Macaca mulatta: one gene and its partners. The protein of the gene in region 1 interacts with the protein of each later gene in a pairwise test. Links are inferred from orthologs where the notes say so. Each region holds a gene or a part of one and is shown on either strand. Other genes may lie near its edges.

Region 1 (7,844 bases):
AAAACGGGGGAGCAGGCTAACTCCAGATGCCCAGTGGGAAGACGACAGGCCCTTCTCTCACATGGCCATGATTCCTTGGTTTTGTGGTTTGGTGAGCAGTTTAAAGATACCAAAGATAACTTTAGCTTGAAGCAGGGCTTCTCAAAGTGTGGTCTCTGGTGCGTGGAGTGATTCTGGTTCATTGAGATAAATTTACTATTTTTACAAAAAAAATTTACTATTTTTACTAAATTTTACACGAAATGTACTATTTTTACAATTTTAAAGTGTATAACTCAGTGACATTTACTAAATTTACAATTTTGTGCAACCACCTCCACTATCTTGTCCCAGAACACTTCATCGCCCCACAGGAAACTCCCAGGCCCATTAAGCAGTTACTTTCCAACACTCCCGACCCCCACGCCTGGCAACCACCAATCTGCTTTCTGTCTCTATAGATTCTGGACATTTCACATAAATGGAATCATACAACGTGTGGCCCTTATTGTCCGTCTTTCACTTAGCACTACGTTTTCAAGGTTCATCCATGTTGTAACAAGTATCAATACCTTTTTATGACCAAATAATACTTTTTTGTACCACATTTTATTTATCCATTCATCGGGTGACATATATTTTAGTTGTTTCTGCCTTTTGGCTATTGTGAGTAGTGCTGCTGTGAATATGTATATACAAGTTTTAGTTTGAACACTTGCTTTTAATTCTTTTGGGTAGAAAGTATAGGCATTAATCTTTGCTCACTCAAAAGGAGGTGACCAAATATCTTAAATTCTTCAATCATTCAACAAATATTTACTGAAAACCTACTCTATAGCCGTCTAGAACTCCAAGCACTGGGAATAATACATACTGCAATGAATAAGACAGGCATCATCCCTGTCCTCCTTGGGAATAACACAGAATTCAGTAAGTGAGTAAAACACAGACTTTGCCGCGTTTAGGATTAGGAATTCCTTTTCTATTTGCTATTAAAGGAAAGTAAAAGCTGGTCACAGAGCACCTGGCAAGATGCTCTAACTGGATGCTTTCAGATGAAACAAACACAACTAAGCGCAATCAATCTGTTATCTTACATCATAAGCCTCAAGCGGGGAGGTTCCCAAGTGGGTCCAGTTGGCAGCTTAACATCATCAAGGATCTAGGCTTTCTCCATCCTGCTCTGCCATCCTCATGGCCACACTAAGGAACAGCCAACCTCAGGCATCATATCTTCTTATGGAACAAGGACCAGGGAACGGAAGTGGGGCAGATCCCTTCTCAATCCCTTCTTAGGTGCAAGAAAAACTTCCCCAGAATACTTCTCCTCAGATCTGTTCTGGCTGATTTGCCCCACAGCCTATTCCTAAGCCAATTATTGGCAAGGAATTGGAATCAGGTGCAGTGAATTATAATCAAGTTGGAGGCTGGAAGGGGCCTGCTTCCCCTGGGGAATATGATGCCGGAACATAATACAGGCTCTGGAAAAATGTAAGAGGGAAAGAATGGCTGTAGGATAGGCAGCCAAGCGTAGCTCCACTGGTGCCTATGCAAGATTTCCTGGAGGAAGTCCAGTCCAGCGTTCTCTAAGCTCCAGGCCTCAACTGAACATCTCAAAAGAAAACAAATATCCAAACCTCAACGTGTCCAAAACTGAATTCATGATTCTCGTTAAAGTAGTGTCTTCCAGTGGTGACTAATACTACCATTCAGATGCTGGAGCCAGGAAAATAAGAGTCACCATATCTTCTTCTTCATCACCACATCTAGCACATCACCAAGTCTTTGAACCCATCTACTCTCTTCACCGCCACCGCCACCATCCTAATCCCAGTCATTATCAGCTCTTCCCTCGAGCTTCGCAACAGTCACGTTTGGCTTCCCAGCATGCATTTGTATTTCCCTCCAAACTATTAGTTCACAGTGCAGGTAGGGTGGCCTTTTCAAACCCAAATCCGCTCATGCTCAAAACTTGCTTCCCACGGCTCTTAGAGACCACTTTGAGCTTGAACAGACTGTGCACATCCCACCTCAAGACTGCTGCACTTGCTGTTCCTCCTCCGACCCCTTGTCACCCCCCTCCCTCGGCTTAACTGTCACTTCCCAATTAGGTCAGGTCCCTTTGCTGCAGCCCGTGGAGAGCTCTGCGCCTGTCCTTCAGGGCACTTTTTCTCCATCCACAGACTCAGATCTGTGACAACACGGAGCTAGTATTTCCTACAACATCACGCCTGGCACACGGTAAGTGCGCAATATGCAGCTGTTGCACGGCTAAATGTATACATAAGCTTCAAAGCAGAGTGGCCGAGAGCAAATACAGACGCAGTCACGGGAGAAGGCACACACCGCCGAGACACCACCGCCACTCCGCGCCGCCTGGACCAGCCAGTAGCTCCGCCCCTGGGCCCCGCCCCTCCCTGCTGAGCGGAGGGGGCGGGGCTCAGAGGTCGCGTGACGTGACAGCAGCCGGTCGGTGATTGGGTCTCCAGGCGCGCCGTCTCGGGAAGGGGGCGTGCCCGCGCGCGCTGATTGGCTGCCTGGCGCGGTGGGGCGGACGGCGGCGGCGGCGCCGCGGGGGCGGGCGGCGGGAGGGGCCGGACCGGGTAGGGCCCGGAGGGCGGCGGCGGCGGCGGAGCGGGCGGCATGGGTCCTCGCCGCCGGCTTCGCTGAGACGCGCTCGCGTGGGCTGCCCTCCCGGGCCCGCAGTGGTCGCGGCGGCATGAAGGGCGCCCTGGGGAGCCCCGTGGCCGCCGCCGGCGCCGCGATGCAGGAGAGTTTCGGCTGCGTGGTGGCCAACCGCTTCCATCAGCTGCTGGACGACGAGTCGGACCCGTTCGACATCCTGCGCGAGGCCGAGCGCCGGCGCCAGCAGCAGCTGCAGCGCAAGAGGCGCGACGAGGCGGCGGCGGCGGCGGCCCGGGCCGGTCCCCGCGGCGGCAGGAGCCCGGCCGGGGCCTCGGGCCCCAGAGCCGGCGCGGGCGGCCGGAGGGAGTCGCAGAAGGAGCGCAAGAGCCTCCCGGCGCCCGTCGCTCAGCGGCCCGACAGCCCCGGGGGCGGCCTGCAGGCGCCGGGTACGCGGGGACGGCGGGGGTAGCGGGCCACGGCTCGCCCTGCGGAGAGACTGGGGTCCCGGGGGCCGGCTCCAGGAGGGGGGACCCGGGAGGAGCCGGGAGAGTTGAGGGTCCCGGTGGCCGCCGAAGGTAGGAGGAGCGGGGCGGGGGTCACACCCCTTCCAACCCTCGCCGGCCGCGTGCGGGGCCCCGGGGGAAACGCTGGCTTGGGGGCCCCCGAACCCTGGCTCGGAGCCGCTACGGCAAGTTGGACGAAGTTGAGGGAGGTTGCCGGGGTGGCGTGTGGGGGCGAACGCTGAGGTCGCTACTCCGGGACTCCCGCATCCAGACCTGGCGGGGACCTTCTCCAGCCTCCAGCCCCGCCTCTGCGGGAGTGAGGTCGGAGCCACCCGAGAGCGCGGTGGGGAGGAGGAGGGCGCCCGGTCCCGGTCCCGGAGGCCTCTGTGATGCGGGCGGCCTGGGCGACCGCGGGGCGGCCTGTGACGTCGGGGCCCGGGCGCGGGTCCTCGGCGCTGTCCGGCCTGGCGCCTTCGCCCCTTCCCCGTCCGGTAGCTTCCAGCAGGCAGCGGGCATCGTATTTCAGTACTTCTTGTGGTGCTGATGGGATGTGCAACTTATAAATAGCTCCAGGCTGCTTTAAGAAAAGCGTTTTTAACCTTTCCAGCCAGAATATCCGGAGTTCCCCACTCCCTGTTTAGCAAGAAAAGCCAGTGCGCAGCGTGGTGTCCTGCTGCCTGCGGACGGGGAGGGAGTTCGTGCTCTCACCTGAACTGCGTCAGTGGCGGAGCCAGCAACGCTCCACCTGTGCTTCCTCTGTTTTCTTGAAATGAGGCAGCGGTCCCAAGGTTTGCAGAGCGTTAGGAGTGAGATGTGTAGATTGACCATTCCTGCCAACGCTTGGCGGAGTGTGCAGCGTGGCTTGCTGGTTTGTTCCTTGCTTGATAAAAATTGTGCATCGCAGCCCTGAGGAAACGTCTCAGGTTTCAGTATTGGGGCTTTGATGCGCAGCTGGGTAATGTTTACCTTTGTTTGTGAAAAGTTAAATCCAGAGTCATCACTTGTGAGAATCAAGTCACTACAATAAAGATGTTGAAAATGATTTAAAAAAAAAAAAAAGTTATTGACTATCTCACGAGCCTTTGATAGGCCAGTAAATTTCTGAGCAGATTATCTAAACAGACTGGAGATACATTGTGCATTTTATATCCTGTTTTTTATGTTTTTCTCTTAAATTTATTTACATGAATATAATAAAAGAATTGAGGAAGGCTAAGCTTTTCTTCACCCTTTATTTTTTCACAAATGAAAATGCTGGGCGCGGTGGCTCACGCCTGTAATCCCAGCACTTTGGGAGGCCAAGATGGGCGGACCGCGAGGTCAGGAGATCGAGACTATCCTGGCTAACACGGTGAAACCCCGTCTCTACTAAAAATACAAAAAGTTAGCCGGGCGCGGTGGCAGGCACCTGTAGTACCAGCTACTCGGGAGGCTAAGGCAGGAGAATGGCATGAACCCGGGAGGCAGAGCTTGCAGTGAGTCGAAATCGCACCTCTGCACTCCAGCCTGGCGATAGAGCGAGACTCCGTCTCAAAAAAAAAAAAAAAAAAAAAAAGAAAATACGTATTCTGTTCTTCAGAAAAACGTGAGACGAGTTAGTGCTGTTAATACATTGATTTTTAGCCTTTTAAAAATTGTCATGCATTTTTGTATTAAAAATTTTAAGCAATTCCAAAATGTATGAGGTTAAGTGAAAATCCTCTTATTTTTCCTACTGTTAACACTTTGCATTTATATACATAAATGCACAGAGCTATTTCTTTTCTTTCTAAACTTAAGTGATATAAACTGGGTTGCAACCTGTTTCCTGCACTTAATGTTGTCACGTAGTACACTTATAACTTTTTTTTCTGTCAGTTGTTCAGTCTAAGTGATCTGGCTTTTGAAATCAAAGGTATTTAGTTGATTTTGTAGTTAGAATGGAAATTTTATCATTCAAGTTCTTTTTCAAGTATGTGTTATTTCAGGAGCAAACAGCTCATTAATTTCCATTTATGTAGTTACTGTACTAAATTTATCTATAATGGGTGTCAAAGAGCTATTCTCTCAAGGTTTTATAGCCCTAGTTGATATGAAGCACTGTACTTTTCTAACATTCAAAATTTTTGATTTAGTTAGAATGTTGTAAGTGAATGCTTAGCATAGACAAAAATAAAACATGTTTGACATATCATAGAAATGTTAATCCTGAAAGAATGTGGAAGTCACAAGCTTTTCCTATGGAAAAGGGTTGTTTTTTTGTTTGTTTTGTTTTTTTTTCTTGAGACAGAGTCTTGCTCTGTCGCCCAGGCTGGAGTGCAGTGGCATGATCTTGACTCACTGCAACCACCTCTTGGGTTCAAGCGATTCTCCTGCCTCAGCCTCCTGAGCAGCTGGGACTGCAGGCGCGCGCCACCATGCCCAGCTAATTTTTGTATATTTTTTACTAGAGGCAGGGGTTCACCATGTTGGCCAGGATGGTCTCGATCTCTTGACCTCATGATCTGCCTGCCTTGGCCTCCCAAAGTGCTGGGATGTGAGCCACCGTGCCTGGCCTAATTTTTTGTATTTTTAGTAGAGATGGGGTTTCACCATGTTGTCCAGGCTGGTCTTAAACTCCTGACTTCAGGTGATCCGCCTGTCTAAGCCTCCCAACGTGCAGGTGTGAGCCACGATGCCCGACCAAAAATGTAGATTTTTTAATGTCTATCTGTCTAGCAATATATATAAACCCTTGGGTGAGCCTTGCTCAATAAGTTCATTCTTTTTTTTTTTTTTTTTTTTTTTTTAAGACGGAGTCTGGCTCTGTTGCCCAGGCTGGAGTACAGTGGCCGGATCTCAGCTCACTGCAAGCTCTGCCTCCCGGGTTTATGCCATTCTCCTACCTCAGCCTCCCGAGTAGCTGGGATTACAGACACCCGCCACCTCGCCTGGCTAGTTTTTTGTATTTTTTAGTAGAGACGGGGTTTCACCATGTTAGACAGGATGGTCTCGATCTCCTGACCTCGTGATCCGCCCGTCTCGGCCTCCCAAAGTGCTGGGATTACAGGCGTGAGCCACCACACCTGGCCTAATAAGTTCATTCTTAAAGTCATGAGAGGCTGTTTCAGTCATGAGAGGCTGTTTCAGTTTTGGTTTTTCTAGCCTTTCAGAATTATGTGCTTTGAAACAGCTCAACTTTATTTTGTGGGAAATCTTACTGTAAATTTTATTGTATTCTGTTTCTTTACCTGGGCTTGGTTTAGATGGTGATGAATGCATGTGCCAGCCTTTTCTTGGCGAGGTTAGTGAAATGCAGTGCTTGCATTCTCCACTTGGAGCTGCTGATCCAGCACCGAAAAGCCCGATTCGTGGCAGTGTTGATCTTTTAGTACTAAATTGTGGGGAAAAAATTGGATGCTGATTATCTTTGTTTTGGGAGGGTTGGGAGGGAGAATGGAGATGTTTGCCCAAAACTGATAATTATTCTAATTATCTTTGTTTTGGGGGGCTTGAGAGGGAAAATGAAATGTTTGCTTGATATTGATAATTATTCTAATAAGTAGCCCATTGTACTTAACAGTTTTCAGTTTATACTGTTCGAAAAGGCTTTAATATGGTGTACAGTAAATGTCCTATTTTAAGTTTGATGAATTGCAAATTTAATTGACACAATTAAAAAGTAACTTGGAGGAAGCAGAAAGGTGGGATAAGCACCTATAAGTAGTTCTGTAGTCGAGTGGAGATAGTAAAAGATGTTTTTAAAACTATGGGTTGGAAATAGGAAATCTGAAACTATGTTAACTCTTTTTACACTGACGTAAAAGTATGGAAAAGTTTTGTTACTGCTGACAAATTTTCTGATGACTGTTATGTCATGATCTATTATAATTTTCAGCTTGTTGGATAATTAACTTTCATAGTGGCTTTTTCTACCTTACGTTGTGAACGCCTTTTCCCGTTCTGAACTCTTTTTTATTTTTGTTTTTTTGAGACAGGGTCTCCCTCTGTCCCCCAGGCTGGAGTGCAGTGGCACGATCTGGGCTTACTGCAGGCTCCACCTCCGGAGTTCAGCCATTCTTCTGCCTCAGCCTCCTGAGTAGCTGGGACTACAGGCACCTGCCACCATGCCCAGCTAATTTTTTGTATTTTTAATAGAGACAGGGTTTCACCACATTAGCCAGGATGGTCTCAATCTCCTGACCTGTAATCCCAGCTCTTTGGGAGGCTGAGGCGGGCGGATCACAAGGTCAGGAGATCGAGACCATCCTGGCTAACCCAGTGAAACCCCATCTCTACTAAAAATACAAAAAATTAGCTGGGCGTGGTGGCGGGCACCTGTAGTCCTAGCTACTTGGGAGGTTGCGCCACTGCACTCTAGACTGGGAGACAGAGCGAGACTCCGTCTCAAAAAAAAAAAAAAAATATATATATATATATACACACACACACACACATATATATATCCATTAATTTGAATAAATGTCATATTTTATAGCCATACAACTAATGTGGAGAGTAATTTGTTCCAAGAAAAATTGAAGCTACTTTAGTAAAAGTTGCACATAGTGAGAGGAGATCTTTTAAATGTATACAAAAAAAGATAGACTGTTTTTGAAGAGTAAAGACGTGACAAAGATCCACAATGTATTTACCAAGTATTAGATGGCTTCAAACATAGACTTTGCCTAAGATGTTTAAAGCGTTAAAATTAAAGAGGAGTAAAGCAAGGTGACAGTATAGAGGAAAAGACCAGAGTCTCGGCCGGGCGCGGTGGCT
Region 2 (7,720 bases), on another chromosome or scaffold:
CACTGCAACCTCTACCTCCCGGGTTCAAGCGATTCTCCCTCCTCAAACTCCTGAGTAGCTGGGATTACAGGCACATGCCACCATGCCCAGATCATTTTTGCATTTTTAGCAGAGATGGAGTTTTGCCATGTTGGCCGGGCTGGTCTCAAACTCCTGACTTCAAGTGATCCACCTGCCTCAGCCTCCCAAAGTGCTGAGGCATGAGCCACCATGCCTGGCTGCAAACTACTTTCTGAAACAGCTCATCCTCAGGCTCACTGAGCCCGAAGAGAGCTGAATGAAGTAACTGGATGAGTAAGTAATGATACTTTTTAAAGTAACATTGAAAAGACAGATGTTACACAATTTGTATTTTTGCCTGAGAAGCCATCCCTTCAAAGCAGTTCCATAGTGAGATTGTTCATTTATTCGTAGAGGTGCTGCTGCAATATTTTCTAAGTGTCTTTGTAACTGGAGAAAAGCTCTCAAGCCTATAGGGCATGCTTTTAAATGTCCTCAGTGTTGGCAAAACTGCCTTTTGAGGCAATATTTTAACATTCAAAAGTCATCTGGAGCTGGAACACATGAACAGAGGCTGTGGAATCCACCCACTCTCCGTACACATTGCTGCTGAAAGTCTCTTTCACCTGGATTACTGGCACAGCTGCGCAGATTACCTTTCTGTTGCCAGTACCTTTTTCAATTCATTTTCTACACCATGTCGCTCATTTAACAAATATTTTAAGGTATTATGTGTCAGGAACTAAGATGCCCAAGGAAGTCACAGTCTGGTGGGGAACATTTAATTAGAGCAATACAGTATGTTAGGATGGGAGAGATTCTTAACCTAGGAGCATCTGAGCGAAGACCTAGAGGATGAATTAAGCAGGCAAAGAGGAAGGAGGAAAGGAAGGGTGTTATATGCAGAATTTTATGTGATACTCCAAAGGAAACAGTGGCTAAAGGACTCTACTAGATGAGTCCTTTCTCTACAGTGCCCTCTGAAGCGTGTTTACTTGGCTAGAGAGTTGCAAGTGTCTATTCTGTAGGGCCTTGTAATATTTCACCATCTCCCTTGTCATCTGATACACTGAAGCAACACTTTTAACCAAGTTCTATTGTCACAGAATTCAGCTGTTTGCTACCTCTGCTCCTGCAGTATCCTGCAGCCAGTAGTTACAAGCACCTGGAAGGTTGGACAGGGAATACAAGAGAAGACTCTAAGACTTCTTAGAAATCATAGAGTCCAGTAAACCACATTAAGGAATCTGGACTACCCTAAGGGTAATGGTAGTCACTGGAAGATTTTAAGTAAGACAGTGTCATGATCAGACAGATGTTCTCAAAAGAACTTTCTGGCTGTTGTGGTGAGGAATATTAGAGTAAGACAGAGGTAGAGAGGTGTGGTTAGTAGCCAACAGCACTGCTCTATACTAGGGATCAGCCAACTACACTCCGTTTTTCTGTGGCTCATGAGCTAAGAATACGAATCGTTTTTAAAATGTTTAAATAGTTGAAAATATGTAAAGATTCGTGTCATGTAAAAATTAGGGCTGTTTTCAAGCTCCAAACCTGAGTAGTAAGTCAGAACCATATTGTCGGCCAAGCTTGTATTATTATTTGGTTCTCACAGAAAAAGTTCCTACCCCTTGCTCTAAGCAATTGGCGATGATGGCCTACAGTAGTGGCAGTAGGAATGAAGACTCTGAATTGACATTTAGAGAGTTTAGGACTGACTCAAGAAGGCCTTTAGGAGGTGGAACTGACAGGCCTAGACGGCATTGGTAGGGGTAAGGGATACTGCACTAGCCTCCTAACTGCTTTCTCTACTTCCATTCCTTGCCCCTCTGCAACCCATTCTCCACTCCGCAGCCATTTTTAAAAAGATGCCCCTCCCTACTTACGACTCTAAAATTGCTCTTCTCACTCTTCCCCTCAGGATATATTTCCAATTCAATACACCTAAGTGACTCTGCCCACCTCTGCAACCCAATGTCACATTCGAGTCTTACTGAACTACTTGACTGCATTTCCCGAGATCCCACCTCTTCTCGCCTGTACCCTGTGCGCAGAAAGTCAGCCCTCCACCTTCTCCCTGCTTCTACTCCCAAAATACTTCGTGCTTCTGCAGCTCTGGAGTATTTACCGTGTTGGCTGTTTAAATTTCTGCCTCCATCAGAAGGCAGAAACTGACTCGCGAACTATTCCATCCCCAGCCGATAGTAGACGCTTAAAAAAGAACGAAAGAAGGTGGGTGGAGGACTTCAGTAACATCAGGTGGCAGCCTCAATTTTATCGTTTGTGAAACGTGGATAGTAATTCCTCTATCACATGGCTGTTGTACGAATTAAATGAAAAAAAACATAGGACGCTAGCTTGTTCAATAAATGTGAGTTGAATTAAATCTGATTTGTGGCCAGTAGAAAAACACGTTAACACTTGAAAAGGAAGACACATTTTTAAAAATATATGCCTGGTAAAACGGATCAGAAGGCAGGTCCCCATGGAGCACACCCTCGCCCTAAACATGCTGAGCCCGGGCTGCCAGAGCCTGCGTGGTCCCTCCAAGGTGACTGCTCCGACAAAAGCGTACGCTCTTCAAACGCATACGTTTAAGGCAATTCCAGAAACCCTCGGCTGTGCCGCGAGTACACGGCCATTAAAGAAAAGACGACTCTATGCCCGCCGTAATGTTCTCAGATCACAGGGACCGTATTTGGTGCAGGGAGGGAGGGAAGCCTTTTCTTCACGGGGAGCTAAGGCGTCGTCGAGCCCCCTTCCAATCCCGGGTCCGGCCGGGTAATCCCTGCCCAGCGTTCGGGCGTGCCTTTTTTTCAGCCGAGACACAACCCTGAACGTCGGGCCCGCCAGCCCGTCGACTGCCTCGTGGAAGTCACGTTCCCTCTGCCCGTCCTCTCAGGTACTCTATGGTTTTCGTGGCCGACTACTCTAATTCTAGTTCCGGTCTCTATGGCGGCCGGCGGAGGCAGGAACGGTTGTAGGTCGGCTGAATTAGCCGCCAGACAGCCAATGAGAGTGGAGGACTGATAAAATGTTAGTCAATAGAAGCCAGGGACTGAGGTCAGGTGGGCAGATTGACAGTACCACCGGCCAGTGAACAACGCCTAGGGCGGGTCGATCGTAGGGCTTATCCCGCCTGTCCCGCCATTCTCGCTAGTTCGATCGGTAGCGGGAGCGGAGAGCGGACCCCAGAGAGCCCTGAGCAGCCCCACCGCCGCCGCCGGCCTAGTTACCATCACACCCCGGGAGGAGCCGCAGCTGCCGCAGCCGGCCCCAGTCACCATCACCGCAACCATGAGCAGCGAGGCCGAGACCCAGCAGCCGCCCGCCGCCCCCCCCGCCGCCCCCGCCCTCAGCGCCGCCGACACCAAGCCCGGCACTACGGGCAGCGGCGCAGGGAGCGGTGGCCCGGGCGGCCTCACATCGGCGGCGCCTGCCGGCGGGGACAAGAAGGTCATCGGTGAGGACCGGACAGGGACGGGGGTGGGGCCCTCGGGCAGCCTGGCAGCGGAACCGTTAGCCGGGGCTGGGCGAGCCGGCGGGCGCGCGGCCGGTGGGGACCGACTCCGCGGCGCGCGGCCGCCCCTCCCCCCGCCCCCCCACTCGCTCTTGCGGGGGCCCGCCCGGCAGGCGCGCGCACACTGCCTCCCGCGCCCCCTGTGGACCCCGCGCGGCCGCGCGCCCCTCCTCCTGCGGCCGCGCGCCGCCGACCGCGTGTGCGACGGGGTCCCCTCCCCGCCGACTGGCCTCGTGCGCTCGGGCCCGCACGCCGTTGTTCGCGTCTCCCCCACCCAGCTCCCTTCCGCGTGTGCTCGGAGAGCGCGGCGCACCGCCTACGCAGTCCGGAGCGGCTTCCCCTTCCCTCACGTGCTCTCCGTCCGCGGCCTGCGAACACACCCATCCTGGGCCCGCGCCCCGGGCCTGCCCGGGAGCGCCCCGCGCTTCAGACTCACCCACGTGTGCGGCGGCGGCGGCGTGGCCCCGGCGCGGACCCGCACCCAGGCGGTGGAGAGAAAGGGCTGTCAGGTGGCCGCGGCGGGCAGCGTGCGAGGGACCGGATGCCGAAGCGAGACGGGTTTGGAAAAGGATAGCTGGTAATCGTGGCTTGTTTTGCTTTGTTTTCTTTTCCAGCAACGAAGGTTTTGGGAACAGTAAAATGGTTCAATGTAAGGAACGGATATGGTTTCATCAACAGGTGAGCTGCTGGGCTCTGAAGCCTCCATCCTACCTTCTTGCTTGCTTCTTGCTGTGCCAATCCACAGTCCTCTTCTGAAAGGCGTTTACTACCTCTGGTGTATTAATGTGATTTTTTGTCTGTTTGTTTTCCTTGACGACTGGAGGGATTTGGGTTTAGAGAATGCCTTTGTTTTGCAGCTAAATATTAATTTGAAGCTAACTTCAAGGGCTTCGTCACAGCACAAAGCAATTTAAAAGGCAAGCGGAGTGAATGAGCCATTCCTTAACAGGGTAAACGGGAAAGTACGGTCCAGTAGATTTTTATTCTTGTCATCCTTTTCTACTTTATTGAACTCGGTATTTGAGAATGTGATCCACTGACATCGGATATTTACGCCTTGTTAACATTTTGGGGGTAAGAGGATTTGACGTGTCAAGTATATGAGGTTTTGTCATCTTTACCGAGAGGTTGTATTGCCTTTGTTTCACGTTTCATTTTAATACCTGAGATAAATTCTGTATTAGCACAGCTTTGACCAGAGAGAACTGTTTTTATTTGTTCATAAATAATATATCTGCAAGAAAATGGTTTTTTTCCTTCAGTTCTTATTTCATTCTTCCTTGTCCTAAAATCATGCTGATGAAGTCAATTTCCGCTAGATCCCTGGCTGTAGCTTATTAGAGTGGCCATAGTCACTAGTAACTTGACATTGTTCTTCCTGTTTGAAGGTAAAGCTGCAGATACGTCTTTAGGACTTACCCTTCGGGTTGTTTGTGGCAGTGGTGGTGGTAACGTGCAGTAGACGCACAGTATTCCATGGGCTTCCTTGTGAGCCGGGCATCATTTTCAAGATGGCTGCCAAGGCTAGTAGTGCAGTTACATGGGTGTAGAGCACTGGGTATGCCAGTAGCAATCTTGGCCTCACAGGTATGGTACTTAAGTGCCATCTCAGCATTCTCTTGCTTACTTACTGTAGAAGACCTAAGCAGATGATTAAAAGAACAACGTGGAATGGACAACAAATGGGCAAAATCAAGCTTAAGGACAGATTCATGGCCTGATGAAAAACTGTTCATTAATCAATCATAGAGTATTGTGGAAATACTTAAAGTAAGAGATAAGCATTTGATGATCTATTCTCTACTTTTGCAATTGTGGGAAAACATTTTGTTTCTTCCAGAATCTTAGGATTTTCCAACTTGTTCTATACTGTTTGCCTTCCTGGCTGGCTGAAACTACGGTTTTCATTAATTTTTTGATAAAAGCTTACTAGCAAAGAAGAAAGGGAATGCTTATATATGATTGGTAAACTGATAGCTTTTTAACTGATCTGTCTGAATTTGTTAGTGTTTTAGTTTGTATTTGTGTCTTACTGACTGTCCTTACTAGTCTAACTCTTAAACCAGTGGTTTTCAAATTTAAGTGTGCTTACCTTGGAAGGGTGTGATTTAAGTGGTGTATTTCTTCTGAGCTTTGGATTCATTAGGTCTGGGTACATTTTTAACAGGAATGATAATGGTCTTCGGGCCATACCTTCAAAATCACTGCTTTTAACCCTTGACCCAATGTAATGGTAACTCTGGTGTGCAAATATGCATCCTTTTCAGCAGATAGATCGCAGTTTTTGTATGTGTTTAAGAAGTTTTAGCATGTGCCTTGTTTCGCTGCATTTTTTTTTAAAGTGGGCATAGGTTATGACATTTTTTGAAATCAATAGTTTTGTCCAAAATAAGAGTATTATCTTTACACTTTATAAGTATTTAGTCCATGAGATACTATTCATTGAATATCTCTGTTCTGAATTGGAATCAACTCAGTTGGTCATCCTCCAGGGCAAGTTATGAATTGGCTTTTGATGGTCCTTTGGACTATCCTAACCTCGATTATTTTGTCAGATTAACTGGTTAAAATATTCTTTATGCTTCTGAACTGGTTGTTTTAATTATTCTGGGATTTTTTAATAAGATGCTGTAAACTCTGACTCCAATTAAATACAGGGAAGATTTGCTTTAATTAAGGAAAATGTATGTGTTAAATCAGTTTGGAAGCTAGCAGTTGGTTCTATATGTAGTTCCTGTAGTAGAACGAATGGACTTGGCTGGAGGCACCTGGCTCTTATGAGGGAGGCAGACTGACTGACACATAACGTGCTGTTTTCTGTATAAAGGAGAGAGTGCAGTGTTTGGGATGACTATTATGACGACTTTTAATTGCTGTTTTTGGATACGCTGGATTATATATTCCAGGATTGTACGGTATTTTTATAATTACAACATTGTATGTAAATTTTCTGCCTTTAAAGACGCAATTTCATTGTAAATGTGTTTATTCCAGCCTGAATTACCACCTGATGAATTGTTACAACCTTGTTAGAATTAATTCATTAAAGGGCTTCTCCCTGATTGGTTATATTGTGAAGAAGGTGCTAAGTAACATGAGAATAGAGCTTTTAAGAATAGTAGAAGTTTTGGCTTTATTTTGTTAGACTGTGTAATCTAGATATTCTAAGAAATTCATTGAGTTATTCTTTTGTGAACTCTGTCTACAAAACATAATTGGAGAATGTGACTTAGAGGGGTTTATTATGCTCCTCCTATATTACTGTTGAATGTTATTAGTGGTTGAGAATTGATCCATATTCACCAAAGATTACCATGAATTGGCAACAGTTTATGGTGACCAGAATAGGAATATTTTTCTGTTTCCAGAGTACTTAGAATGTCTAAATTAATAATTCTTTATGTTTTGAGGTGAAGAAAGAATTTGGAGCAAAGGTCACAAATTTGTGACCTTTCTAAGACTACTCCCAGATGCTTTGATTAGACAGCACAGTATTTTTTAAAGGAATTGGGATTAATTACTAACATTTATAATTCAGGAGATGACACCAAGTAATCCAGATTATTATATTGTTAAGATCTGAACTTTAGCTAGCTTTGGGGGCTGTATTTCCACATAGTAAAAACCACCTGCCATATTGTCACCACGTTTGGGGGGAGTATACTTTTTTTTTTTTTTTTTTTACAACAGTCTGTCATGCTTAGTTGTCTTAGGTTGCTGACTTCGCTTCACGCCTGGCCTCTGTGTGTGCATTTGAGTTGATTACCCATGGTCTGGGAAGATGTAATAAACCAAGCCAGGGAAAGGTTTAGTTCTCTTTAGTCACGCCTATCAGGTTTAAGTCTCCCTTTGGAGTGGGGGCTGCCTTGTGGGGATTCTATATGTACATAACTGATAGGTGACTTCCTTCACATGTTGGTGAAAATAGATACAGCTAACAAGTATTTATACTAGGGTCTATAGTAAGTTGCTTAAAATGAGCCAATTCCCTTAATCTTTAAAAACTTTTGAGGTGTAGGTACTGTCACTCTGAGGCACAAAGAAGTTGTTACTTGCCCCCATAAGCATAGGTGATAAGTGGCAGGCAGGATTGGAACTGTTTTTTCACTCTGGAGTTAGTGTTCACCAACTGCTGTTATGCTGTCTCTGAAATAGACCCTAGCCATTTTCAATTTGGTGGTTGTCCACGTAGTTACAGATAAT
Region 3 (7,823 bases), on another chromosome or scaffold:
CTCTAATCGTTTCTGAAAACCAGGATCTCAATCTCATCAATTGCTTCGAGGAACCAACTTTAGGCCGGGCGCTGTGGCTTACGCCTGTAATCCCAGCACTTTGGGAAGCTGAGGCCAGTGGATCACCTGAGGTCAGGAGTTCAAGCCCTGCCTGGCCAACATGGTGAAACTCTGTCTCTACTAAAATACAAAAATTACCCAGGCATGATGGTGGGTGCCTATAATCCCAGCTACTAGGGAGGCTGAGACAGGACAATTGCTTGAACCAGGGAGATGGTTGCGGTGAGCTGAGATCATGCCACTGCACTCCAGCTTTGGCGGCTGAGTGAGACTCCGTCTCAAAATAAACCCAACCTTATAGAAAATAATCGTTTTCTTCCAGACAGTATGCCTTAACTGTCATTTGCTGAAAGTAATCTTTGGAAACATTCTCAGATTGCCATTATCTCATTATCCTCCTGAAACCATCCTGACTAATGTTTGCCGTTTTATGTTAGAGACGCTGGCTAAGTGCTCCTTCCATGATGCTGGTCTTCCACTGAGCAGGAGACTCCTGGTCCCCAAATACCTTGCCTCCAGAAGCACAGAGGGATCCGTCTGGAGAGACAGTCACCGTGTTCAGATAGCCCGTGTGGCCAATGTGGTTGGTCTTCAGCTTGCAGTTAGCCAGGTTCCATACCTGCATAGATGTGAAGTTGACAGGTGAATATCCTGGCTCTGGATCAACCAGGGTCAGGTCCAACAAAAAAGGGCTTGGCATTCCTGGCTACAGTAGCCATTTATCATTCAGTAACATGTCCTGGCCACTTAACCTTAGATTGTAACACACATCCAATGCAGTGTGCTCACTTACAAGGGACATCAATTAGCTACTTCAAACCATGTGACAAGAGAAAGAGTCAACTGAGAGAATCTGTAAAGCTTTCCACAGGAGTTGGAGCGTATGACCACCTGGGAGCACAGCACACCCTGACTGGTAAAGCCCCTGCCTTGGCTTGAAGCTCACCTTGACCAGCTTGTCCCAGCCGCAGGAGACGATGATAGGGTTGCTGCTGTTAGGCGAGAAGCGGACACAAGACACCCACTCTGAGTGGCTCTCATCCTACAGAGGATGAAAAGGAAATAAGGGGAAACAGTCCTATCCCATGAAATGCTAGACCCCCCCCCAGCCAGATGATGGCTGGCAGCACCTTTCAAAAACCCAGAACCCAAACCTTTAAGGTCAACAGAATCCCTTTAGATTCCAGATAAGAATTTCTTTTTAAATTTAGAGACGGGGGTTGGACGCAGTGGATCACGCCTGTAATCCCAGCACTTGGGGAGGGCGAGGTGAGTGGATCACCTGAGGTCAGGAGTTTGACATCAGCTTGGCCAACATGGTGAAACCGTCTCTACCAAAAACACAAAAATTCACCGGGTGTGGTGGTGGGTGCCTGTAATCCCAGCTACATGGAAGGCTCAGGCAGGAGCATTGCTTAAACGCAGGAAGCGAAGTTTACAGTGAGCCACGATTGTGCCATTGCACTCCAGCCAGCGCAATGAACGAGTGAAACTTCATCTCAAAAAAGGGCCAGGTGCGGTGGCTCACGCCTGTAACCCCAGCACTTTAGGAGGCCAAGGTGGGCGGATCACGAGGTGAGGAGATCAAGACCACCTGGCTAACACGGTGAATCCTCGTCTCCACTAAAAATACAAAAAAATTAGCTGGGCATGCTGTAGTCCCAGCTACTCGAGAAGCTGAGGCAAGAGAATGGCATGAACCTGGGAGGCGGAGGTTGCAGTGGGCCAAGATCGCACACTGCACTCCAGCCTGGGCAACAGGGTGAGACTCCATCTCAAAATAAATAAAAATTTTTATGGATGGGGTCTCACTGTGTTGGCCAGGCTGCTCTCCTGTCCTCAAGCAATCCTCCCACCTTGGCCTACCAGAGCATGAGCCCAGCCAAGACTTTAAAAAGGCAGAGAGCCGGGCACGGTGGCTCACGCCCGTAATCCCAGCACTTTGGGAGGCTGAGGCGGGCAGATCACCTGACGTTGGGAGTTCAAGACCAGCCTGACCAACATGGAGAAACCCCATCTCTACTAAAAATACAAAACCAGGCGTGGTGGCACATGCCTGTAATCCCAGCTACTTGGGAAGCTGAGGTAGAATTGCTTGAACTCGGGAGGCGGAGGTTGTGGTCAGCTGCGGTCACGCCATTGCACCCCAGCCTGGGCAATGAGCAAAACTGTCTTTAAAAAAAAAAAAAAAAAAAGGGTAAAGATATGCAGGCCATGGTGGCTCACGCCTGTAATCCCAGCACTTTGGGAGGCTGAGGCGGGCAGACTGCCTAAGCTCAGTTCGAGACCACCCTGGTGGTGCGCACCTGTAGCACCAGCTACTGTGGAGACTGAGGCACCAGAATCACCTGAGCCTGGGAGGCAGAGGTTGCAGTAAGCTGACACAGCGCCACTGCACTTCAGCCTGGGCGACAGAGTGAGACTGTCTCAAAATAAAAAAAAAAAAAAAAAGTAAAGGTTAAGAGAGTGGGAGAGATCCTTGGAGATGTGCTCTCTGACCATGGCCTCACTTTACCTGGACAGTGTATTTGCACACACCCAGGGTATTCCATAGCTTGATGGTTTTATCTCGAGATCCAGAGACAATCTGCCGGTTGTCAGAGGAGAAGGCCACACTCAGCACATCCTTGGTATGGCCCACAAATCGCCTCGTGGTGGTGCCCCTAAGAGGGAGGACTTTGTCATTCTCAGACTTAACAAACATTCTCATTCAAGGGTCAGACTGATTCCTGGGCCTTGTCTCTGTCTCATTGCATTACTCACACATATATGACAAAGAATCCCTTCAGAATTGCAGGACATGTCCTCACTCCCACATGGGGATTGGCTGACAATGTCATCTGTCATCACCAGGACCCTCTAATTCCACCTGCCAATCACCTCAGCTTTCAAGGTAAAACATGTTCAAACTGCTGCCTACTCAAAACTGTCGCACCTGGTAGATATGTTCAACCACACTCCTCAGCAATCCTGAGTAACTAATTCAAAGCGAGGGAGGCCAAACATCTTCTGTAGGTGCAGTCTGCTTTCCAGTTCCCAAATGGACTGGATCTCCCCTGGGAAACCAGCCAATTGCATCCACCACATTTCTGCCCAGATTTTTTCCCAAGGCCCCAGAGCTAAGTGAGCAGCTACTTGCGTTGTGAGATCCCAGAGGCGCAGGGTTCCATCCCAGGAGCCTGAGAGGGCAAACTGGCCATCTGAGGAGATAACCACATCACTAACAAAGTGGGAGTGACCCCGCAGAGCACGCTGTGGAATTCCATAGTTGGTCTCATCCCTGGTCAGTTTCCACATGATGATGGTCTTATCTAAAAGCGGCCAAACAGAAGAAAAACCAGTGAGGAACCCGCAGCCAGTTTGTTAACACACTGGATAATTCACTAAGTGTCAAGGTCATGAGTGGGTTAACAACTAAGGATGCTTAAGGAGGGATGGAACAACAGACTACAAGAGCAGTTACAGGCCAGGACTGAGTGGCTCTATTCCAGACTAAAAACGCACGCAGAGCTAAACTGTACCGTGATAACTCTTTTTTTTTTTTTTTTTTGAGATGGAGTCTCACTCTGTCACCCAGGCTGGAGTGCAATGGCATGATCTCGGCTCACTGCAACCTCCACCTCCCGTGTTCAAGCAATTCTCCTGCCTCAGCCTCCCTAGTAGCTGGAATTACAGGCCACCCCCAGCACGCCTGGCTTTTTTTTTTTTTTTAAACTAGAGATGGGGTTTCACCATTGGCCAGGCTAGTTTCGAACTCCTGACCTAAGGTGATCCGCCCGCCTCTGCCTCCCAAAGTGCTGGGATTATAGCCGTGAGCCACCGTGCCCGGTCTGTATCCTGAGAACTTAATTTAGGTGCCAGAAATTACAGACACCCTTTCCTGAAACTCAGACGAACTCAACAGCCACCACGTATCTTCTCTGCAACCGAATGCACAGCAGTTCGTGGCTGTAGAGTAGCTGGGGCCTCCCATGCCTCCCATGAGGGCCGACAGAAATGTTATAATGAATGCTGGAAAAGCCACTTTAGGCGCTACAGGATCGGATGCTTTTACTGAAACCTGTCCCACTCAACAATTTTACGATTAACAGCCAGACATGATTCAAGAGTCACACAATTCTTAACAGTGTAGGAGCAAAGGGGAAGCACAACAAGTGTCCAAACGCAGTCAGGCACACAGGGATAGGGACGGGGAGGGGAGACCCAGGGGCAGAAAAAGTAGGACGAGACTTGAGCCACGAGGTCCTCTGGAGTCCACCCGCCTCCCCACGAGCCTTGGGCCGGGCGGCAGCTCAGAAACAGCCTCTGGATTTCAGCACCGACACTCAGATGGCATGTTGGGGTCATCACCGCCCCGCCCGGCCCGTAGGCCCCCGACCACACTACGAAGGGGAAGGCAGAAGATGTTTTAAAAGTTTCCAACTCTCCAACCCTAACAGCCACGAGCCGCTCTACGTCTAGGTCCTCATCTGCAATGTGGTTCGCCCGGGCTGAGGCCTAGGCTCGCGTCCGCACGCCCCAAATCACAGTGAGGCAGAGAAGTTTGTCAGTCCCCGGCAGCGCGCGCGCCACCGGCCTGCCCGAACCACGCGGAATCCCCCAGCCCTGCAATCTCGGGTCCTGAAATCTACCTTAGTCCGTACCTCGAGAGGCGGACAGGATCATGTCCGGGAACTGCGGGGTAGTAGCGATCTGGGTTACCCAGCCGTTGTGGCCCTTGAGGGTGCCACGAAGGGTCATCTGCTCAGTCATGGCGGCGGCGAGCGCGTGTGTCGCTGCAGCGACGAGGATGGCACTGGATGGCTCAGAGAAACGAGCAACACAGCCGCTACCGCCGCCGCCTTGCAGTGAAAGAGAGAAGCCCTCTGCCGGAACCGGAAATACCCACTCGACCAAGTAAAATGGCGAGCCCCATGATACACTTCTGCTCAAGATGGCGGCGCCATGTAATGCAAAAGGCAAAGGGAAATTGCACGGCATCACAGTCCCCACTTCCGTACAACATAATCTGACAGCGCTTTATAAATACATTCTGAAACAAGCACATTCAAGTGTTTAAAAAGGCTTCTCAGGGATGATGTAGAGCGAGAAGCGAAAGAGGTGAAGTGTACGGCACATTCCCATGAGGACTCCCTGGCGGCTTCCCCGCCCCTATGTGGCGTAGCTCGAGCTCCGCCTGTTCCACTTGGTGCGGGGAGGGTTGACGGGGCAACCACAGGAGAGCTTAATTTTCAGTTCACTATCGTGGGTAACGATGGGCAATTTAAAAAAGTATGGCATTAAAATTTTAAAAATAAACTTTAAAACTGTGCTTCCGCGGGACCGTCCTCCCTCAAGAGGTTTTTGTTCTGATGCACACCAACTCCGGAAGGACTTAGTCCAGGCTGGACTAAGGCAGGAGAGGGTTACTCTGGATGTACTAAAAATTGGTCTCTTTTTGCCGGGCGCAGTGGCTCGTGCCTGTAATCATTCCACTTTGGGAGGCCGAGGGGGTGGATCACTTGAGGTCAGGAGTTCGAGACTAGCCTGGCCAACATGATGCAACCTCTTTCCAATAAATAAATAAATAAATAAATAAATAAGTAAAATTAGCCAGGTGTGGTGGCGGGTGCCTGTAATCCCAGCTACTCGGGAGGCTGAGGCAGGAGAATCCCTTGAACCTGGGAGGCAGAAGTTGCAGTGAATCGAGATCCCGCCACTGCACTCCAGCCTGGGCAGTAGAGCGAGACTCCGACTCAAATAAATACATACATACATACAATAAAATAATAAGGTGAAAATTGCCCTGTGTGTTGCTAGACTGCCAATCCATTCCTGCCTAGGTCAGAACACGGGAAGCTCTCGCAGAAACGGAAACGCCCAAAGGAGGACCTTAAAGTTCTGACTTCTGGGGACATCCACTGGAAAGCTCTCTCTGGGCCCAGTCACTGCACACAAAAGCCCAGGCGTCTGGGGGTCCAGTTGCACCCTGAAGGACGTGCCCAGACAGGGAAGCGGTGGAACACGGATACCTAGCTGTCCTTCTGCCTTCCACTCTACCTCAGGAATTTAAACAAGTAATGACTCTCATTCTCTCACATCTGACTATAAGAGTATTGGGCACCGTGTCTCTTCAAGTAGTTTTAAACAGGAGGACATATCAGGATGATAGCAGCCACCAACATCTATGCAAAATAAAGATGTCACATTTCTATTTGTGACATCTATCAACTTTTGTTTCTCATCTGTGAAATGAGATTGGAAATAACATTAGTATCTACATTACATGGTGTGGAAAGTAAAGAAGCAAATTAAGCGCCCTGAACAACGTCTGGCAGAGTAAATGTTGTGAAACTTAGTGAGCACCTCTTGGGTACCAAGCCTTATTTTAGGTTTTGGGGACAAAGCTGTGAACAAGACAGACGGGGGACTCTGGTTTATTTGCAGCTTACTTCCGGCGGTATGCGAAGAGGGGAGAACATTGGAGCAGATACACGGAGAGCGCACTGTGGGTATATGGGAGAATAATGTTCCGTGGAGGGACGTCGTGTAGGGGAAGAATGTTTCAATCGGAGGGAAGAGTTAGTGCCAACGTACTGAGCTGGAGTGTGGAGGGGCTGAGGACAGAGCAGTGAAATGGAGGGCGCAGTTAACCTACGGCCTTGAAGGCCTGGAGAAGAACCTTGGCAATGTCTGCTAGAAAGCCTGCGTAAAGGCAGAAGACAGGCGAGGAACGGTGGCAGAGCTGCCGCAGGCTGTACACGCCCAGGTGTGCAGAGGCCTGGATCCCTCCCTGAAACAGCTTGCTCAACTGGTCCATGGCAGATTCCCCTGCCTTCCGCCGCAGTCTCTGTCGGGCCCCGCGGAACGCTGTCCTGGCTGTGCTCCTCCGCAGCCTGTGGACCATCCTAAGGCTCCAGGTTTGTACATCACCTGCCTTCTTGGCACCCCCAGCTGACTGTTCTTTCGCTTTTCCAATACAAGACGCAATCCCGACCCAGGTGTTTTGTTTCTGTGGTGGTCGTGGAAGACCCCTGCCTTCACCCACCCGCTAACCAGCTTGCTGCCCCCGACTCGGGTCACGCCAGCGCCTCCCTGAGCCCTCGGGCGCAAATAGGTCAACGACCACACCCGCCTCCCGCTGTGGACTGAGTGAGATTCGCGGTGCGAGGGGTTCCCGGGTTGGGGCCCTAAAACGCCGAGGAGTAGCACTAGATTACACTGTCACATTCTTTTTTCCTTTCGAGAAACCTCATTCGGTTCTCTTTTTCTTGAACGTTCCACAGGGAGTCCAGGTTTAACACGAACCTCGCTGCAGGTCCCCGACCCACGCCCAAGGAAAAGACCTTCCCGCGCCGCGGGTCCCTCTCCCGGAAGCGGGCGGTTGCCACGCCCAACCCCACCCTGCCCCGCCCCCTTTCCCGCTCCGCCCCGGGGCTGCCCCCTTTCCCTGCCTCGCGAGACCTGGGCCGAGACCTCGGGAATGCTCCGGGCTCCTGCCGGCCTCTCCCGGCCGGGTTCTCTTGCACTAAAAATAGGCGACTGTGGCAGCGCCCCTCCTATGGGGCCTTGGGGGAAATTGGGGTTTTGTCTTAGAGCCCGTGTGGACCCCGATGGCGATGCCAGCCCGAGGAGAGGGAGGCGGCTTTCCGACGACCAGACCCTGCAGGATTCGGCCTTTCCCTTCGGAGTTTTCCTCCAACCCCCTCCGTCCCTCCCAGGGGATGCCCGCAGGCCACGGTGGTCACTGAAGTTCAGCCCTGAGCCGAAGGAGACGTGGCCTC
Region 4 (7,867 bases), on another chromosome or scaffold:
AAAAGAAAAAAGAAAATTGTGGGGTGGCTGGGCGCGGTGGCTCACACCTGTAATCCCAGCACTTTGGGAGGCTGAGGCAGGCAGATCACCTCATGCCTGTAATCCCAGCATTTGGATGGGAGGCCAAGGTGGGTGGATTGCTTGAGAAATTCAAGACCAGCCTGGCCAACATGGCAAAACCCCGTCTCTACGAAAAATACAAAACTTAGCTGGGTGTGGTGGCACACGCCTGTAATCCCAGCTACCCAGGAGGCTGAGGCACAAGAATTGCTTGAAGTTGGAAGGCAGGGTTTGCAGTGAGCCAAGATTGCGCCACTGCATTCCAGCCTGGCTGACAGTGCGAGACTGTCTCAGAAAAAAAAGAAAAACCTCGGGGTAATTTATGTCCAGCGTAAGTACCTGAACAGTTTCCAGAAATGTATTTTTTTTTTCTGAGAGGCAAAGGATGTAAACAGCTTCTAAGTAGCTTTAATGTTTCTGTACAGAAATATGTTTATCACTGTAACATTGTGGTAGAGTTTTAATACAGTATTTAGTTTTTTATTGGGCTTTTTAAAAAAGTTAACTTTTAACATAGCTGCTCAGGGATTAAACCAGATTGGACAACCCATTCTGACTCCACATATTACTACAAGGAAATACATCGTTGTTTCTATTGAGCTGCAAGGGATAGTACACTTTACGCTTAAGAAAGTTAAATGTTTCACAATAACATTGCAATATAACCTTCAGCTACTCTTCTTCAATTGGTAAAATCTGATGGTATGATACCTCTTTGCCAACCTACGAAACCCGTATCTGGAAGAGTCACCAGCTCCCGTGAGCAGCTTCATGTAAATAGATGCACTCCAAGCAGATCGCATGCCTCAGGTGTCTGTCTTCTAGTAATCATGGAGTATGCAACACCCAGAGTAACACGACAAGGGGCAGGACTGCAAACAGCAGGTCCTGCTACAAACCCTTAATGCTGCATTGCTGCCAGTTGTAAAGAGATGCCTGAATGGAGGCGAGTTTTGCCCTGTGGGTAAAACTGATGAAGTACTGTACTGTCATATAAATCCACTAAATCCAGCTACCAGGAACTGCCTGGAACTATGGCCATGCATTTTTTTATTTTCTTTAAAGACCAGTGTGATAGCAGGCCATGCATCTGAGATACGATATTCCTTGGTAACTAGAGGGAGGGAAAAAAAAGTCAAGTAGGTTCAGGCGTATGTTGTATTTTGAGAGTCTGGTTTTATTTGAACAGAAATAACTCTACAGAAAGCTCCTGTAAATAATGCTCAAATTTGCACTTGACGATCAAATCCATTAAAAATGAATCTTGTATATGATGTGTATGGCTTGTTTCTTGGGTCTCTTTTCCATTATTCATAGAAAATTATTTAGAAAATATTAAGTGTTAGTCTTATCATGAGTTAGTAAGACACACCTTCTTAGTAGCTTGTATATCCTGGGAAGGTAGGATTGTTGGTTCTTAATCTAAATCTGAACCCCATTTCTGGGTTCTATGAATTTAGTGGAGCAGCTCACAGAACTCAGGGAAACACTTTTACCAGTTTCGTATAAAAGATATGACCAAGGATACAGATGGAGATGAGCAGGGTGGGGAATAGGGAAGAAGCTCCGAGCTGCCACGCCCTCCCTGGGCCACCACCCTCCAGGAACCTCCGCGTATTCAGCTATCAGAGGCTCTCCAAACCCTGTCCTTGGGTTTTTATGGAAGCTTCTGGACCTATCTAAATGATACAAGCCGGCTTCTTGTCCCCAGAAAAATGATGTTCCATTAGAACTTGGATGCAGGGTCGGAGGTGCAGAGAGGGAAGGTCACAGAAATTACTCATGGATCCTGCCCTTCAGGATGTCACAGTCTGGTTGGGTTTAACCCGGTTAAAACCAGCAATGCCAGGAGGTTTCTGTTGAAAAGAGAATGAAGCCTAAGGGCTGGGTGCGCACAAGCATGAGTTCTAAGCCGATGGAAAAAAGGAGGTTCTAGGAAGGCCTCTTTCAGGAAAACCCTGACTTCTTCCTTTGCTCTTACAACAATCAGCACAGAAGAGTTCTGTGACCAAAGGTTTGGGTTTTTTCCCTCCACACTAAGCAGCAGACACGAGCGGGGTGTCCTCCAATTCAATCCCAACATTATCTACCTGGAGACAGTGTCAGATCCCATGAGACAGTGTCAGATCCCATAGGTTGAGGGCTCAGTCCCCAAGACCGCCCCGACCTTCAGACAGCAATGGCAAGTCTGGGCCTCTGAAACTTCCGACCAGCCCGCTTCAAGTGGGGGTTCCCACGACCCCCCTCTTTGGGTTGTATTAACTCACTGGAGCAGCTCACAGAACTCAGGGAAACACTTTTACCGGTTTCATATAAAGGATATTACCAAGGATACAGATGAGATGAGCAGGGTGGGCAGTGGGGAAGAAGCTCCGAGCTTCCTCGCCGTCCCTGGGCCACCACCCTCCAGGAACCTCCACGTATTCAGCTATCAGAGGTTCTGCAAACCCTGTCCTCATGGGTTTTTATGGAAGCTTCTGGACATCAGCATCCCTTCCCCCAGGGTAGAGGGTGGGACCTTCTCTGGGAAGGGACTTAAGACCCATAATCAGAAATGTGGGAGATTAGAGTCCTGCATTGGGGCGGGTGAAAGGAGGGCGGGAGAAGGGGAGAGTGAGAGTCTGTTTCCTGAGGCCTAACACACCCAACATTATCACAGAACACTGTAACGAGGGCTATGGGAGTTACGACCCAGGAACTGGGGATGAAAACCAATAAATACATAATATAACACCACAGCCTCCTAGAGGAAAGTGACCGTGTAAGGGGCTGGTGAGAGCTGGGGGAAGACAAGAGTGCATTCCACACAGCCCAAAAGCCTGGCGTGCCTTGAAAACAGTAGGTGGAAGCGGCCACTAGAAATAATTAAACAGCTTCGGACAGAGGACTCAGGCCAGCGCAGCAAGAAGGCTCCGGAAACCGGATTCGAGGCTTCCCGGGCTGCACAGGAGGCCTCCAGCAGAAGGCGCGATTCCGCCTGGGGCCTTAGGTCCTCAGTGCGCCGGCGCGGGAAGCGCTTCCGGGCAAGGGCGGGGCTTCCGGCGGCGCTTTAGGTCGCGGGGTACTTGGGCCTGGGTTGTCCTTTGCATCTGCACGTGTTCGCAGTGGATTGCGCGATGCTACCTCTGCTGCGCTGCGTGCCTCGTGTGCTGGGCTCCGCCGTCCCCAGCCTCCGCGCTGCCGCGCCCGCCTCGCCTTTCCGGCAGCTCCTGCAGCCGGCGCCCCGGCTGTGCGCCCGGCCCTTCGGGCTGCTCAGCGTGCGCACAGGTTCCGAGCGGCGGCCGGGCCTCCTGCGGCCTCGAGGACCCTGCGCCTGTGGCTGTGGCTGCGGCTTGCTGCACACTGAAGGTGAGGTTCGCGCACGCGGGCCAGGGGTGTGGTTTGCGGTTCACGGAGGGGAAAAGACCAGGAGTGGGGCCTGCAACCGACCTCCGAGGTCTGGGACATTTTTCCATTGATTGGCAACCAGCGGGTTAAACCCACGTGTGATCATATTCCCCCCACCTCCCCTATCCACCAGTTTCATTTTCTGTTGGTAGGGGGGTGAATAAAATTAAATACTAGAGGGTACCTTCATCCTTAGTCTTATTCTCTCGAAAGTGGACTTTTGGGAAAGCCCAAGGTCGTGTTTGAAAATAGCATACGATACAACTATCGTTTGGCAAGTGGAAGAGGATGATCGGAAATTCTTCTGCTTTATAGCGGAAAGTGGTAATGCGTTCATTGTTGGAAATCACTTTTCCAGCATCAGGCTCAGCTTCCCACTAATATTATGGTATTTTTACAGATAAGGAAACTGAGGCTTCTAGAGTAACTGTAATAGCAGAGAGATTAGAAATAGTCCAGGTTTCTGGCTGCGATAACCAGGGTAATAGTTTTATGTTTTAGACTAACTGGCTTTCCTTTTTATGTATATGGATTTCTTTTCTAGGAGACAAAGCTTTTGTTGATTTCCTGAAGGATGAAATTGAGGAGGAAAGAAAAATCCAGAAGCATAAAACCCTCCCTAAGATGTCTGGAGGTTGGGAGCTGGAACTGAATGGGACAGAAGCGAAATTAGTGCGGAAAGTTGCCGGGGAAAAGTAAGTACTGGTCTGGGGATCCCAGGGCACCGACTCCCTTAACCTTGCAAGACCCGTCCTGAGTCATCCCTAGAAGAGCCTTGAGTTCAGGTGTGGATAAATGGTTTTCAAGAGAGTGAAGGATTCAATTGGACAGCTTCATAAGGTCCAGGCAGTCCATTCACTGAACACAAATTTGCTGTGGGCTGGTTACTAAGGAGACAAAAATGTAGCGCAAAAAAGTACTGACAGAATCTGTTTGATCTCTGATTTACAGCCCTGATACAGTAGCACCCTGCTCTCTGTAATGTTTAGCTTGGGTGAAAATGCAAGGCATGTAACTTATATGTAACAGGATGGGGTTCCACTGTAGATAAGGGCTGCCATCAGAGGCGGGGAGTTTGTGACCTAAGTCAGGTGCCCCACCTTCTCCTAAACTGTTAGTGTTTACACTTTTCTGCTTTATAGTCATCCATAATCTCATTACACAGATAAACATTTGTCATCTTCCAGATTTTTAAATTGAGGCTGGGTGCAGTGGCTCACGCCTATAATCCCAGCACTTTGGGAGGCAGAGACGGCAGATCATGAGGTCAGGAGATCGAGAACATCCTGGCTAACACTGAAACCCTGTCTCTACTAAAAATTTTAACAGGGTGTGGTGGCAAGCACCTGTAGTCCCAGCTACTCAGGAGGCTGAGGCAGGAGAATCGCTTGAACCCCCGGGTTTCAGTGAGCCGAGATGGCGCCACTGTACTCCAGCCTGAGGGACAGAGCAAGACTCCATCTCAAAAAAATAATAAATAAATAAATAAATTGAATTTTCTTTATAATTGACCTTATGATGTATATATAATTCTTTTTTAAAATCACAGCTTTAATGTGATTTAATTTATATGGCATAAAATTTACCCATTTATTGAAGTTTATTAAATTAAGTGGTTCTTAGTCCTCACAGAATTATGCATCGGTTACCACTACCTAATTCTAGAACATTGTTGTCAATCCCCAAACAATACCTATTAGCAGTCACTCATTATTCCTCCCTCTAGCCACCCCAGGTAATCACTAAGCTACTTTATGGATTGCCTCTTTTGGACATTTCATATAAATGGAATCATACAATTTGTAGCTTCCTCCCCACCCCACGGAGTCTTGCTATTACCCAGGATGGAGTGCAGTGGCACGATCTTGGCTCACTGCAGCCTCTGCCTCCCGGATTCGGACAATTCTCCTGCTTCAGCCTCCTGAGTAGCTGAGATTACAGGCATGCGTCCAGTTAATTTTTGTATTTTTAGTAGAGATGGGGTTTCGCCATGTTGGCCAGGCTGGTCTCAAACTCCTGACCTCGTGATCCGCCCTCCTCGGTCTCCCAGAGTGCTGTGATTACAGGTGTGAGCCACCCTGCCCAGCCTGTTTACATTTTTAATTGTTGGGTTGTAAGAGTTCTTTAGTTTTGACCGGGCACGGTGGCTCACACCTTTAATCCCAGCACTTTGGGAGGCCGAGGCAGGTGGATCACAAGGTCAGGAGATCAAGACCATCCTGGGTAATGCAGTGAAACCCTGTCTCTACTAAAAGTACAAAAAATTAGCCAGGTGTAGTGGCGGGCGCCTGTAGTCCCAGCTACTCAGGAGGCTGAGGCAGGAGAATGGCATGAAGCCCAGAGGCAGAGGTTGCAGTGAGCCGAGATCACGTCACTGCACTCCAGCCTGGGCGACAGAGTGAGACTCTGTCTCAAAAAAAAAAGAATTCTTTAGTTTTTCTGGGTATAGTGATCTTACCAAATTAATGATTTGCAAGTATTGTTCCCCATCTTGTGGGTTTTCTTTTCACTTTCTTTGTAATGCCCTCTGACACAAAAGTTTCTGATTTTGAGGAAGTTCAGTTTACCTATTTTTTTGGTTGCTTGTGCTTTTTTTAGTGTCACATCTAAGAAACCACTGCCTCGCCCAAGGTTGTGAAGATTTATGCCTTAATTTTTTCAGAGTTTTCTAGTTTTAGCTCTTAGTTGAGGTCTGTGATTCATTTTGAGTATGATGTGAAGTAGGGTACCAATTCTCTTGGCTATTGTGTAGTGTGGTTTTTCCCTACACAGGTCAATTGTGTCTTCTGTAATCTCACCTAAAAACCATTTGCACAAGGTTTTCATAGCTATTTGGGGGCCATTAAAAATAATGCTCTGACGAACATCATTCCATTTCTGTGCCCAGGAGCTCAGCTTGGTCAGCACAGTTGGAATCAGACAGATTGTGTCAACCTCAGACTGCCTCTGTTACTATGGAAAGGTGACTTCCTGGCAAAGCAGCTAGTTAGCACAAGTCGAGGGGGCGGTACTTCATGGAACTTGTATGGAACGGTGCCTGCCAGAGTTGCATAGTCCAGCAGTTCTGGTTCTAAACTTTATCTCCCAGGAATTTTGACTCAAACTTTGGGACATGATTTGTCAGGTGTGGATTCTTGCACCTTAAAATTGTCGCTAGTTGGTGTCTCTGGCCTGCTTTGTGATGATAAAACTTCCCACAAGTACTCTGAAGGATGACTGTCTACTACAGCCGTTTTTTTCTTTGTGAGGCATCCCCTTCCCGAGGCCAGGGCTGCTCTCCGTGTTTAACAGATGCAACCCTCCATTGCTCCTTCTTCCTTTCCTTGCAGGGCAAATTTTCTTATGGGGAAAGGCTCTTAAAGGGGCTTCTGTTCCATCTCACCAGCCTCCCAGGTCCTTACTTTCACCAAGGGTTCCTTGGAAAGACCAGGGTGGGCAGTGTCAGCTGGCTGTGGCCATGAGATGCCCAGTCAACACATGGCAGTGAGCCCTGGGGTACTGGCCCTGTTGGGAGTAACCCATGCATGACTTGTTTGGCTGAGATAAGCTGAGGCCAGCTTTGGCTTCCAGCAGCTGGTACATGGTAGGCACACTTGAGACCTGCTGAATCACTCAGGACTGGATGTAGGTACCAGCCTTGTTTGAAGTTCTGCATATAATTCAGCCAGCTAGGATAGAGACATTGTTTCAGTACACCTTTGTAACTGTAGCAGACCTCCCTGTTTGTGTGTTAACCTACTCAGTTAAAATGATGCCTTGTCTGTTATGTTTTCTCTTGCCCTTTTAGAATCATTGTCACTTTCAACATTAACAACAGCATCCCACCAACATTTGATGGTGAGGAGGAACCCACGCAAAAGCAGAAGGTTGAAGAACAGGAGGTAAGCTTAACACTATGATCAGCTTTTACCTCAGTTCTGACAGGCTGTCCCTGGGACTTAAAGAAGGAGCGTTTTTCTTTGTTCTTTAAAAAAAAAAAAATTTTTTTTTCCTCTAAGGCCAGGCACGTGGCTCACGCCTGAATCCCAGCACTTTGGGAGGGCAAGGTAGAAAGATCCCTTGAGGCCAGGAGGACCAGCCTGAGTAACATGGCAAGACCCTGCCTCTACGAAAGTTTAAAAAAAAACAAATTAGCTGGGCATGGTGGCACGACTGTGGTTCCAGCTATGCAGGAGGCTGAGGCAGGAGGAATCAGTGGTTTCTGGCCAGCTTTAACAGGACTGTGGCCCTCTTCCTTTTCCCAGGGGCAAAATACGTTGCTGTCTGCCAGCTCAGGCTTAGTGGTTTGGCTGGAAAGGAAATGAAATGTTCTCAGCCTTTCCCATGATAGGGAGTTTTGTTGTTTTTGAGAGAAGGTCTCGCTCCATTGCCCAGGCTGGAGTGCAGTGGCACGATCTCTGCCCACTGCAGCTTCCACCTC

Evidence for each region.
Region 2: the proteins of HABP4 (region 1) and YBX1 interact in a two-hybrid assay, tested with the Homo sapiens proteins (2 studies listed by BioGRID and IntAct). The link is inferred for Macaca mulatta from reciprocal best matches to the Homo sapiens genes HABP4 and YBX1.
Region 3: the proteins of HABP4 (region 1) and RACK1 interact in a two-hybrid assay, tested with the Homo sapiens proteins (2 studies listed by BioGRID). The link is inferred for Macaca mulatta from reciprocal best matches to the Homo sapiens genes HABP4 and RACK1.
Region 4: the proteins of HABP4 (region 1) and C1QBP interact in a two-hybrid assay, tested with the Homo sapiens proteins (2 studies listed by BioGRID and IntAct). The link is inferred for Macaca mulatta from reciprocal best matches to the Homo sapiens genes HABP4 and C1QBP.

The regions. Positions count from the first base shown.
Region 1 is NC_133420.1:127,027,279-127,035,122, reverse strand, and holds the start of HABP4 (intracellular hyaluronan-binding protein 4), read left to right. Parts: upstream 1-2,575; 5' UTR 2,576-2,698; coding exon 2,699-3,050; intron 3,051-7,844. UniProt on the Homo sapiens protein: Ribosome-binding protein that promotes ribosome hibernation, a process during which ribosomes are stabilized in an inactive state and preserved from proteasomal degradation.
Region 2 is NC_133406.1:198,074,314-198,082,033, reverse strand, and holds the start of YBX1 (Y-box-binding protein 1), read left to right. Parts: upstream 1-3,155; 5' UTR 3,156-3,294; coding exon 3,295-3,460; intron 3,461-3,595; exon of another isoform or gene 3,596-4,094; intron 4,095-4,131; coding exon 4,132-4,195; intron 4,196-7,720. UniProt on the Homo sapiens protein: DNA- and RNA-binding protein involved in various processes, such as translational repression, RNA stabilization, mRNA splicing, DNA repair and transcription regulation.
Region 3 is NC_133411.1:190,282,712-190,290,534, forward strand, and holds the start of RACK1 (small ribosomal subunit protein RACK1), read right to left. Parts: upstream 4,917-7,823; 5' UTR 4,813-4,916; coding exon 4,704-4,812; intron 4,417-4,703; exon of another isoform or gene 4,349-4,416; intron 3,372-4,348; coding exon 3,200-3,371; intron 2,918-3,199; exon of another isoform or gene 2,839-2,917; intron 2,724-2,838; coding exon 2,576-2,723; intron 1,103-2,575; coding exon 1,007-1,102; intron 680-1,006; coding exon 569-679; intron 1-568. UniProt on the Homo sapiens protein: Scaffolding protein involved in the recruitment, assembly and/or regulation of a variety of signaling molecules. Interacts with a wide variety of proteins and plays a role in many cellular processes.
Region 4 is NC_133421.1:6,937,676-6,945,542, reverse strand, and holds the start of C1QBP (complement component 1 Q subcomponent-binding protein, mitochondrial), read left to right. Parts: upstream 1-3,123; 5' UTR 3,124-3,176; coding exon 3,177-3,408; intron 3,409-3,991; coding exon 3,992-4,142; intron 4,143-7,234; coding exon 7,235-7,328; intron 7,329-7,692; exon of another isoform or gene 7,693-7,804; intron 7,805-7,867.